Cricetulus griseus: one gene and its partner. The protein of the gene in region 1 purifies or fractionates together with the protein of each later gene. This does not show direct contact. Links are inferred from orthologs where the notes say so. Each region holds a gene or a part of one and is shown on either strand. Other genes may lie near its edges.

The links.
Region 2: the proteins of Esr2 (region 1) and Ube3a purify together in Homo sapiens (affinity purification with western blotting; 4 studies listed by BioGRID). This does not show direct contact. The link is inferred for Cricetulus griseus from reciprocal best matches to the Homo sapiens genes ESR2 and UBE3A.

The regions. Positions count from the first base shown.
Region 1 is NC_048598.1:127,340,739-127,346,133, forward strand, and holds part of Esr2 (estrogen receptor beta), read left to right. Parts: intron 1-2,310; coding exon 2,311-2,449; intron 2,450-3,302; coding exon 3,303-3,356; intron 3,357-5,395.
Region 2 is NC_048596.1:138,673,354-138,678,748, forward strand, and holds part of Ube3a (ubiquitin-protein ligase E3A), read right to left. Parts: intron 3,971-5,395; coding exon 3,765-3,970; intron 3,007-3,764; coding exon 2,842-3,006; intron 1,572-2,841; coding exon 1,416-1,571; intron 1,329-1,415; coding exon of another isoform or gene 1,322-1,328; coding exon 1,248-1,321; intron 1-1,247. UniProt on the Homo sapiens protein: E3 ubiquitin-protein ligase which accepts ubiquitin from an E2 ubiquitin-conjugating enzyme in the form of a thioester and transfers it to its substrates.

The sequences.
Region 1 (5,395 bases):
GTGCATTGTGCATGTAGACGTGTGTGTCTGACTGCTCGTGCACCACGGTACATGTGCGGAGGTCAGAGAACAAGTTTCAGGAGTCAGTTCTCTGCTTCCACCTTCCACCAGGGATCAAAGTCACGTCGTCAGGCTTGCATGAAAAGCATTTTTACTGACTGACACATGGTGCAGCCCTACATCTTGTTCTTTTTTGAGAAGAGAGTCTCATAGGGTGGGCCATCCACTTCTTTTCCAACCATCTAAGAAATAGTCTCTCTACGAATTCTAAGCTAGGTTCCCTTGGCCCTGGGGCAGTGGGGGTAGTATCTGTGGTAAAGTAGATGAGTAGATGGATAACGAGCCATGGGAGCCACGGCCCCTGGTGCAAGGGCCTCTGGTGGCTGTTGCTGGCTGGCCCCATTTTGTCTGTGCTTTCTGGAGGGCTTCTGCTTCCCAGCTTTGTTTTGTCTGGTGTCTCCACCTTTGCCAGAACTATTTCATTTTGTCTGCTGTTTCCCAGAGAAGAAAAACACTGATGCACTTTCCTCTAGTTTTTATTTCGAGTGTTTCCCAAACACCAGTTGCAGGATCTCACAGCAAAAATGAAGATGAGATTCCTGACCTCGGGAAGCTATTTGGCTTCCCCCATCCCCCAGCTAATCTTTCTTCATGCCTAGCATTTTGAAAGATTTGCAGGTGTCTTACATATGACTGTGAGATTGGAACTGTACATTTACAAGGATCTGAACTGAGCATAAGCATGTGGTTCTGGAAGGATTTGTCTGTGTGTGGTGGATATATGTGCTTGTGTGTGTGCATGCCTGCATGTGAGAGTCTAGAGGCCAGGGGTTGATACTGGTGTCTTCTCAATTGGTTGCCTTCTTATAATTTGGTACAGGTGCTCTCACTGAACTCGGAGTTCATTGATTGGCTAGACTGGCTGGCCAGTGAGCCCCAGAGATCTTTCTGTTTCTTTCTCTCTAATGTTGGGATTATAGGTGGCTGCTACATGGGTCCTGAGGATTAGACTCCAGTCCTAGCAAGTACTTTACTGACTGAGCCATCTCCCTGGCTCTGGGTTTGTCCATGTTTACATTCATGCTCCATGCACTTCTCTGTTGTGCACATTTACAGTACCTTTATCCAAAGATTTGAGCATGTGTGGTATTGCATTGTAGTAACACTGGTAAACATTTATAAGCGATCTTACCTATAGGAAATTCTCAGAGGGAGGCAAGATCACTTCCATTTTTCCTAGAAGAAAAACAGGTTTGACAAGAGACTAATTTAGCTGGGGGAGAGGAGTTAGGGATGGAGTTTAGTGGTAGAGCACTTGCCTAGCAAGCTCAAGGCCCTGGCTTTGCTCCCTAGTGTGCACAACTCTCTCTCTCTCTCTCTCTCTCTCTCTCTCTCTCTCTCTCTCTCTCATTAGAAAGGGACTAAGCTGGTATTCAAAACCAGAATCCATTTCACTCCAAGGCTGTACTTTGGCTACTGTGTTCACAGCCCCCTCTTATTAGTGTGCGTTATGGAAAGAAGTTCCTATGTCCTTGTCCTTGTGCTAAAGGCATTCACTCCCTAGGGATTCTGTGTTACCTTCCAGTGCTGTGGCTAATTCATGCCATTAGAGTATCAACTGCTTCAGTTGTTATCTTTGCTCTTTAGGATAGAAGCACCTAGAGACAGCACCCTTCCCAGAACAGACAGAACTTTGCATGGGGAATGTTCATCAGTCAGGAAACCTATTTTAGTTGAAGCCTTGGCTTTCTGTAGAGGCTGGCACTGCTCTCTGCTTTACCTTCTACCCCCAGTCATCTAGACTCTACCTACTCCATCCATCCACCCTCCAAACCATGGATTGGGACAGACAGACAGCCTCTCTGATAGCTGTGCTTTGGCTTCCTCAGCAGGGCGCAGGAATTATTAGGAAAGTATAGTCACAGCTAACAAGCCTAGCTCTGCCTTTTGGGCCCTTTCTAGCATCTATCTTGGGAGCCAATGATTCTTTAGAAATATTAAACAGAGTTTGTTTATTTTCTGGAGAGGTCGGAGGCTGGAAGCTGCAAGTTGCACATCTGAGGTTCCTTTAACCAACATTTAATCGCCTCTTTGAAATACTGGTTGATTACTTTCCTTTGTTGTCTGAGTTTCCTTAGTGTTTAATAACTTGCCATTCTGTCTTTACAGAAACGGATTGCTGAGGGGTCTGGGGAGAGGTTAACAACAATTATCCCAAAAGCAAGAGTATAGAATGTAGGGGCTCCAGTCATTGGTGTTTCCCTTACAGAGGGGGAGGTGTGTTTGTTTCATGGACTCTTGTTTCCCCAGGCTTTGTGGAGCTCAGCCTGTTGGACCAAGTTCGGCTCTTGGAAAGCTGCTGGATGGAGGTGTTAATGGTGGGGCTGATGTGGCGCTCAATCGACCACCCTGGCAAGCTCATCTTTGCTCCAGACCTCGTTCTGGACAGGTGAGAAATAAATACTTTGCATTTCATCTCAGATCTGTTGGACTAAGCAAAGTGAGTGGGAGCCAAGTCCTAGGTGCTGTAATTAAATTCTCACACCTGAAAGGGCAATTAGAGGACTATAACACCATCCACTCCTTCACTGGGTCAAGAGCCCATGGAGAAGAGGGCTTGGGTACCAGGATTCATTTTCCACAATCCCTTCTAATCAATGGTGCACCAACAGTCACAGGCCAGGGAACTGCACCCTGCAGGGTAATGGCCACTGAGTGCACAGTCAACATAGATTTTTGTGTTTTTGCATTAAACATTCTGTTCTCACATTATATTCTTGAGTTGCCCTGCTCTGAGTGATGAGTTGCATCTCTGGACTGGTGATAAAATGCTTATGACCCTTCCAAATTTATTTTCATTGGCTATAGCTTTAATGCCGATAGTATCATTAATCTCTAGTAGCATTTTTGGAACATGTGGTGGGAGGGCTCGTTTCTAAGGCCAAATGAAAGTTAGCAGACATTGGGACATGACAGTGCTTTGGGTCGTGATAGGATGTCACAGAGTGGTTGCACCTAGTTTTCTTTTAAAGATGGCAGAGAGTAGGAACTAAGCTTTGATTTAGCTGAACTGCTTATGGAAGATAAAACTGGAATGTTCAATAACAGTCGAGCTTTGTTATAGGAAAAAATAGAAAATTTTTGGTGTACCTTTGAGAGGTTTGAAAACAATCTCCATGGAAAAAGGACTAGTGTTAAGTGTTCAGCACGTTAGACTGGGCACAAGATCAGGAGGATGCCTGGTGCTGTGAACCTAAAGTGCCCACCCCAACTCTTGCATCATAATCCTGTTACCACTGTAGGTCATCAGAAGACCCTCACTGGCACGTTGCGCAGATGAAGAGTGCTGCCCCAAGGTATCAGCATCCATTCTGCCTGTTGTCATGGATGGCACTGACAGAGAGCACTGCTCTGAGTAATGGAGGTGTTTTGGTGGAGAACAAATCCTGTGGGAAGAGCTGAAGCATGGGATGTGGCTTGAGCAGGAACAAGCCCAAGTGGTGACCGAGAGAGGGAGGCTCTGGAAGGCCAGAGCAGTGGGGCAGGTACCATACCCTCCAGTGACCGTCACATAGCTAACTTATTAGCTGGTGTGTGCCAGGTACCATCTTAAGCACTTGGTGTGTGTCGCCTTCCTTAATCTTTCCAAAAGCCCTTTGGGAGTGAACACCATTCATCATCCCAGGTCTTCAGTTAGGGAAATGGGAAGTGAGGTAACTGATTTACAGGCAGGGTAGTAAGTGATAGTGGAGGTGTGGGCATCTGGTTCTAAAGTCCATACACATAGCACATTACCCCCGTGGGAAAGAGAATCAGAAGGGGAAAGAGAAGGCCAAAGGCAAAGCGACTTCATAATTTATTCTTTTACCTTAGAACATAGCCCCATGACTGGGTCTATTTCTACCCTCTTCAGAAACACACTCCTACTGCACCTCAGGGCTGTCAGTCAAACTGAAAGGCTGGCCAGGCAATTGCCTCACTCATCCATTCTGCTTCACAAACACATATAATAAACATCTACATGTAATTCTACTACGCTAGCTGTTCCACCCGTTGGTGCATAGTGGGGCTAAAAATATTTTACTTTTTGTTTCAGTTTCTGGATGGATGCCAAATCTAGTGTTTCAGTAGCTGAGTCAGTAACTGGAGACCATGTACAGGAGTAAATTTAACTCTCCCCTTCTCTGAGTATGGGTGTGTCACGCCCCCACTCCCACCGCTGACATGTCAGAGCTTCCTCACATGGTGTTTCACGTGAATACAAGCACTAAACACTTTTTTTTTTTTTCCCCGAGACAGGGTTTCTCTGGGGCTTTGGAGGCTGTCCTGGAACTAGCTCTTGGAGACCAGGCTGGTCTCGAACTCACAGAGATCTTCCGCCTCTGCCTCCCGAGTGCTGGGATTAAAGGCGTGCGCCACCAACGCCTGGCGACTAAACACTTTTTATTGTTGTGATTTTGGTTTTTGTTTATTTTTGGTGCTGGATACAAAACCAAAAGAGCCTTGAGTTTGCTAAGTAGACACTTGGCCACTGAGCTAAACCCCCTACCTGTTTCCATTTGTTCTTACTGAGATTTCTACAGAAAACAAAACGAAACAACCTTGAATGTACTGAGGCTGAAGGGAAAACCCAGTGATTTGGGGTTATTTGTAACGAGGTAGTTCTTTTGGCATCCATTAGAAACATAAATTCATGTGAAGATCTAGTGTGGAACCTGAGCTTCTATTTGCCCAAAAATGCATATGTGGCTGGCAAGATGGCTCAGTGGGTAGAGGAGCTTTTCATCAAGACTGTGACCTGAGTTTGATCCCTAAGATCCACACGGTGAAAGGAGAGCACTGACTACACAAAATGATTCTGACCTTTAACTACAACACACACACACACATACACACACACACACACACACACACACACACACACACACACACACAGAGAGAGAGAGAGAGAGAGAGAGAGAGAGAGAGAGAGAGAGAGACATGCACACACATGATGCCATTTAAATTAAAAAATGTATGCTGACACCTTTGTGTCAGCATCAACAGGAAACTGTCAACAGAGCTGTTACTGGACATTTGGAGCTGGGCTGGGGCTGCACTATGAACACTGACAGGCTTCTCCAGACTCCTATGACTATGAGTGTTCTTAGGGGCTGCATTCACACTCAGTATTGATATGCTGAATATTCTTGAAGATCATAGGCTGTTACTCCTAAATTTTAATTTACCCTTTGTAGTTAAGTAATTTCATTTTAGTTCAGTTTTTATGAAGCCCCTCCCATGTGCTAAGCCATCAATTGGGCCCCTTGCCCTTGTCCAGTTGCCACACCTACAGAGATAAACTAGTGTGGAACCCATCAGATATAGATGCAGATGGAAAATAGGCAATGCCAAA
Region 2 (5,395 bases), on another chromosome or scaffold:
TGTGCATTCTGATTTTATAAATTCTGAATACATGTGATAATTATTAAAAGGTTCCTGTATTATAAGTTTTTAGGAGGTGGGAGAATATCAGAGGTTTATTTTAGTGTTTGACTTCCTAGTAACTAAAAATTCCAAAGAAATTTTCACTGTGTTTATACTAACAAAAATAAAAAGTTGTAGTTTCACAAAATTTATGATACTATAAACTGTTAAGTTTGAAGCTTTATTACTGATGTAATTTTTTTTCCATTAAACCCTGAATTCACAAACAAGGTAAGCATGACATAAGAATGGTACAGTTACAAAAACACAAAACTTTGATTTGTTTCTAAGATAATATATCCATGAACAAAAGTCCAGGATACTTTTACTGTTCTAAAATGAAATGCATTGTAATGCTAGTTTTCTCATATTAATTCTGTGAGAAGGTCTATTTTGGATCAACATTATTACCGAGATAATGTTATGATATTCCCATTAAGGCTTTCCTACTAGCATGTTATTTCAACCCTTTGAAACTGAGTGTCTAGGAGCAATATCATGGTTGTCATTGTAAACACACTTATGACTGCTGCAGGGCAAAGCAACAGTAATCTTCTAAAAACCTAGAAAATTAATAAGATAATACTGTAATATAAAACTAACCAATATAATGTGTCATTACTAGACATAGTTAATATTCATTCTGTTTGTTACATACTCAAGTCTTAACAGCTTGAGTGATCTTCCAAAAAGGTACCTATTTAAATGCCTGCGACTTCACACAAACAAGGGATACCAAAAGGGCCTATCTGTCATTTTTACCAATTATATTAGGGGATCAGGAACCTGTCTTTCAGAATTGAATATTAGTATGGTACAGAGAAGTACGAACAATAACCAGGGCATCTGACTAGAGAAAGACAGTACTGGTAATACTGTTCTGAGAATTGTTCAGAAACACCAGTACATATCATTCTTCCCAAATGTCTTCAAGACATTTGTATCTTAAATACTAAAGAATGTACCATTTTATACATTACCAGAAATAAACCAAAACCATGAGACTTAGATAACCATTTAATTAATCAAACAAACCATTAGACTGTATGAATGTTGGTAATATTAATAGAAGTCTACTTTTACAGATGAGAGCCTTTGAGATTGCTTGTTTGGGAAGCAACACCAACAGATACAGGTCTGAATCACAATACACACAAACTTCTTTGATGAGTAAAATCTTCCTTCTTAAGAATTAAACACCTCACCTAATCACAACAGACTCTCTTGTATAGCCACCATCATATTCTGTAGTTTCTTCTAATGCTTGGAAATCTAGATTCTGAAAATTATAGAAAAAAAAATACACTTTAGCATCTATGTCACACCATTCAAAAGACTAAATTATGAGGTGTTTTTGCAGATGTCTTTCTTACCCGGCTTCCACATATAAGCAATTCAATCTCTTCCGGTCTGAATAAGTACTTTAAGGGAGATTCATTAGTCACCATATGAAAACCTCTGCGAAACGCCTTGAACTGTTTTTCTACTGATTTATTGAGAATGTAGTCGGAATAGAGATTTACAAATTCCTGTAAAACATTAAAAACAAGATTCACCTGCTATACATTCACATACTAAACATTAACATGCTATACAAGTGAACACAAATAGCTATTAGGCTGCATAGCCGCTTTTAGCCCCACCCAAGAGAAATCCTTCAAGAGTACTTTTTAAAAAAAAAAAATTAAAAAAATTATTTTGGAGAGATGGTTCAGTGGTTAAGAGCATTATCAACTCTTATAGAGAATCTAACCTCAATTCCCAGCACTAGCATGGCATCTAACAACCACCTGTAATTTCGCTTCCAGGAAACTAAATACCCTCATGCCTCCATGGGCATTATATGCAAACAATCCACCAACATATATACAGGCAAAACACTCATGCATATAAGACAAACCTAAGTCTCTAAAAAATATGTTAGATGTTGTATGGACAAAGAAAAATACTTTCACAATTCCTCACTTCTGACATATTAATATATAAGTAAACATGAGTTATACATATAGATTATGATTCTGAGAATTAAATAGGAATTAAAATAAAATTTTATAATAGTAAAAATTAATATAAAAACAGAGACACAACACAACATTTCAAAGTCCTTTAAACAAGTATGCAAATATAAATATATGAATATTGAATTTGAGCAAACCAGAACATCTCATGTTTTCTACTAGAGATATTGTAAACTACCTACTATGTCCAGTTCTGCAAAAACACTATTTGTTGGTAAGCTAAGCTACTGCATCAAATTACAAATATGTATTCTGTATCTTGACATATTTTATCAAAAATATGTAATATCAAAAATATAGTTATATAAACTTACACATTTCTTAAAAATTATACTATTTATTGTAATTTTCTTATTCTGTCCTTATTTCCTATTCCCAAATGAATATATTTTCAAGTTATTAGAAACCAAATCTAATGAAAAGAATAATTTTAATATGTATAATCAGATTTCAAATTAAATAGGATCTTAATCACTGGGCCCTGTTTACCTTAAGGGTTGAATATGGTAATGCCCTGTTTCAGGTATTTTACTATTATATTTACCCATTCATTTTCTCCTAGTATATGTACTCTTTCTCTAAAGAGGGATTAGCAATTAATGTGTACACTTACATCAGCTTTTATCTAATAGTTAGCAAAATATACCTTTACTATTTATATGAATTTATTTATAATGTTTTTGTTACTGCTTCAAACTGTATTAAATAATTCTTTGAAAACTCTAAGAATACTGCTTTGAAATTACATATTTACAAAACAATGACAGAAAAATTTTATTACCTTCCTGTTTTCATTTGTAATTGGAATTTTATCACCATTTTCCTTTAGATCATACATCATTGGGTTACCAAAAAGATCTGTCTGTGATATCTGGAAAGTGATCATCATATCATCTTCCACATTCCCTTCATATTCCAATAAGTCCTTTAAACTCTGATATAAAACCTAACAACCAGAAAGAGAAGTGAGGCTACCAAATAACTTGTAAAACACATTTTAAACAGAGAGAGAGAGAGAGAGAGAGAGAGAGAGAGAGAGAGAGAGAGAGAGAGTGTGTGTGTGTGTGTGTAAGAGCTTGTTTTATTCCTTTTAGAAGCAATTTGTCAATAAATAATGAAGCCAAAATTATTTCCCCATCTCCCAAGTAGTTTAATAAGACATAAAAGACTGTAACTGAGCCAGGAAGTGGTGGCATTTCCCTTTAGTCCCTGCACTTTGGGGGGCAGAGGCAGGCTGATCTTGATGGGTTCAAGGCCAGCCTGGTCTATAGACTGAGTTGTGGGAGAGTCAGAGTTACACAGAGGGGGAAGAAAAAGCAAAAAAACAAACAAACAGACAAAAAAAAGAAAAAAAGAAAAAGGTCACTGATACTGTATCAAACTTTGCAGCTGTATCTATCAAGGAGAAGGAGGCAATGCTCATTTACCAGGCAGACTTACAAGTTTATATTGAAAAGAGAATGTTTACAAATTTCACTATATAGTCAATCAAAAGTTGCTTGATGCAATCTATAAAAACAACACTCTTTAAAAATTTAAGTGTTCATTATACTTAAAACAGATTAAAAAATTTTTTACCACATTGGGTAGCAGTAGGTATTGACAAAAGATTCCAAACAAAAAGATATTTTTATATAAATTAAGATGTATTTCTGTATTTAGATAGTATCTCAGAGACTATTTAAAGAATGACAAAGAACTTACTGGGTGAGAATCTCCCAAGTCACGAAAGGTTCCTTTTTTCCCCATTAGCTTCCTGTAGACAACCATGGGAAAGTGGACATCCAGTATACAGTTATTGTAAATAGCCAGACCGAGGACTATGCCAATCAGAGTAAACTGACCCTCGGTTTCAAAGGAAGATGGATTAAACCAAAATAATTTTGTGGCTTCATCATATGTGAACATACCTATAAAAAATAAGTTTTAAAATAATTTGTATTTTTGAAAATCTAAAAATTTAAAAATAATTTTAAACAAAATAAGACAAAAGAATTTTAATATAGTAGATATGTTTTTGCTATTGCATGCATGTGAGAAAACTGTACAAATATAGTAACTGATTATCATTAAGTGTATTAACTAGTGGTATACAACTCTAAGAAGCCAACAAAACAAAATATGAAATTTGGGTGACATTCCTGGAAAGGTATTTTTAAAAAGTTTTATTAGGTTATTCAAGGCTTATCAATTTTCATTGACTAATGAAAGGTTAATTTACAGTCATATTTTAGCCACTCAGATGACTGAAAAGTACATAAGAAGCAAACTCATGATCAAGTACAAGAATTAGATAAAGTTGATTAACTTCCAGTTACTTAAGATACATAGCTAATGTGAGCTAATAGTTTTAAAAACCAAATTTGTAATATTTCATCTTTACATAATCACCATTATTCAAGATCTAACTTCAAAGACATTTTTTCATATCATTATTTCATCTAAGGGAGCAGAAATAGATTTGTCTTCTTTTTTCACTGAACATTAAATACAAAAATATTTTAAATAAATCCATATGCGTTTTAATTTTTCTAAATTCATTTTCAGTTGCCTCTCAGGAAACACTTGTAAATTAAGGTTTAATATGCTGGGGGAGAGGGGATTGCACACCTTAGCACTTGGAAGAATGAGGCAGGTGGGTCATGAGTTTAAGGCCAGAATGCACGAATACAATATAAAAAGACTGTCCACAAAACCAAAACCAAGAACAAAGTAAACAAATCAAAGAAGGCTTGGGCAAAGAAACTTTTAACCTAATGGAACATTTCTCAAAACCAAATAAAACAGCATTAAAATGTGCTTCTAAGTTCATTTTGAAAAGATTTAAAACTTTTCATTTTCAGTTTTAATGAAAAGAAAAATACAATTTTCTCTTTGACCTCTATACTTCTTTTTGCAATTTAATATTTGTGAAATACTCGTTTTAAAATTATCCAACTCATATTTGAGTTCTACAGTTTGAAAAATATGTATACATGTATGGTTATTTATTTGCAAGCCAAGTTATAGATCCACAGAGTATCAAAAACTCCAATTGACAAGCAGTAAGTGGGATAGAATGTCACAAATGGATGATTTTGGTTACAAGAACAATAAGCTATAAATTATCCAGTGTCTAAAATTCATAAGCCATTATTCTCATGCCTTCAGTAGCTTCCAATCCTCCATTCCAAGGTTTTCCAAATTAAATTTACCAAAAAGGTAATTGTCATCTACCAGAATATTTGGTTAATTAATCTAAGAAATAAGGTAAATACAGCAGTAGACAGATCAGTTCCTGAAGCATACACATTTGTTATCTATAATTACAAGTAAGCCATATCCAATTCTTTTGC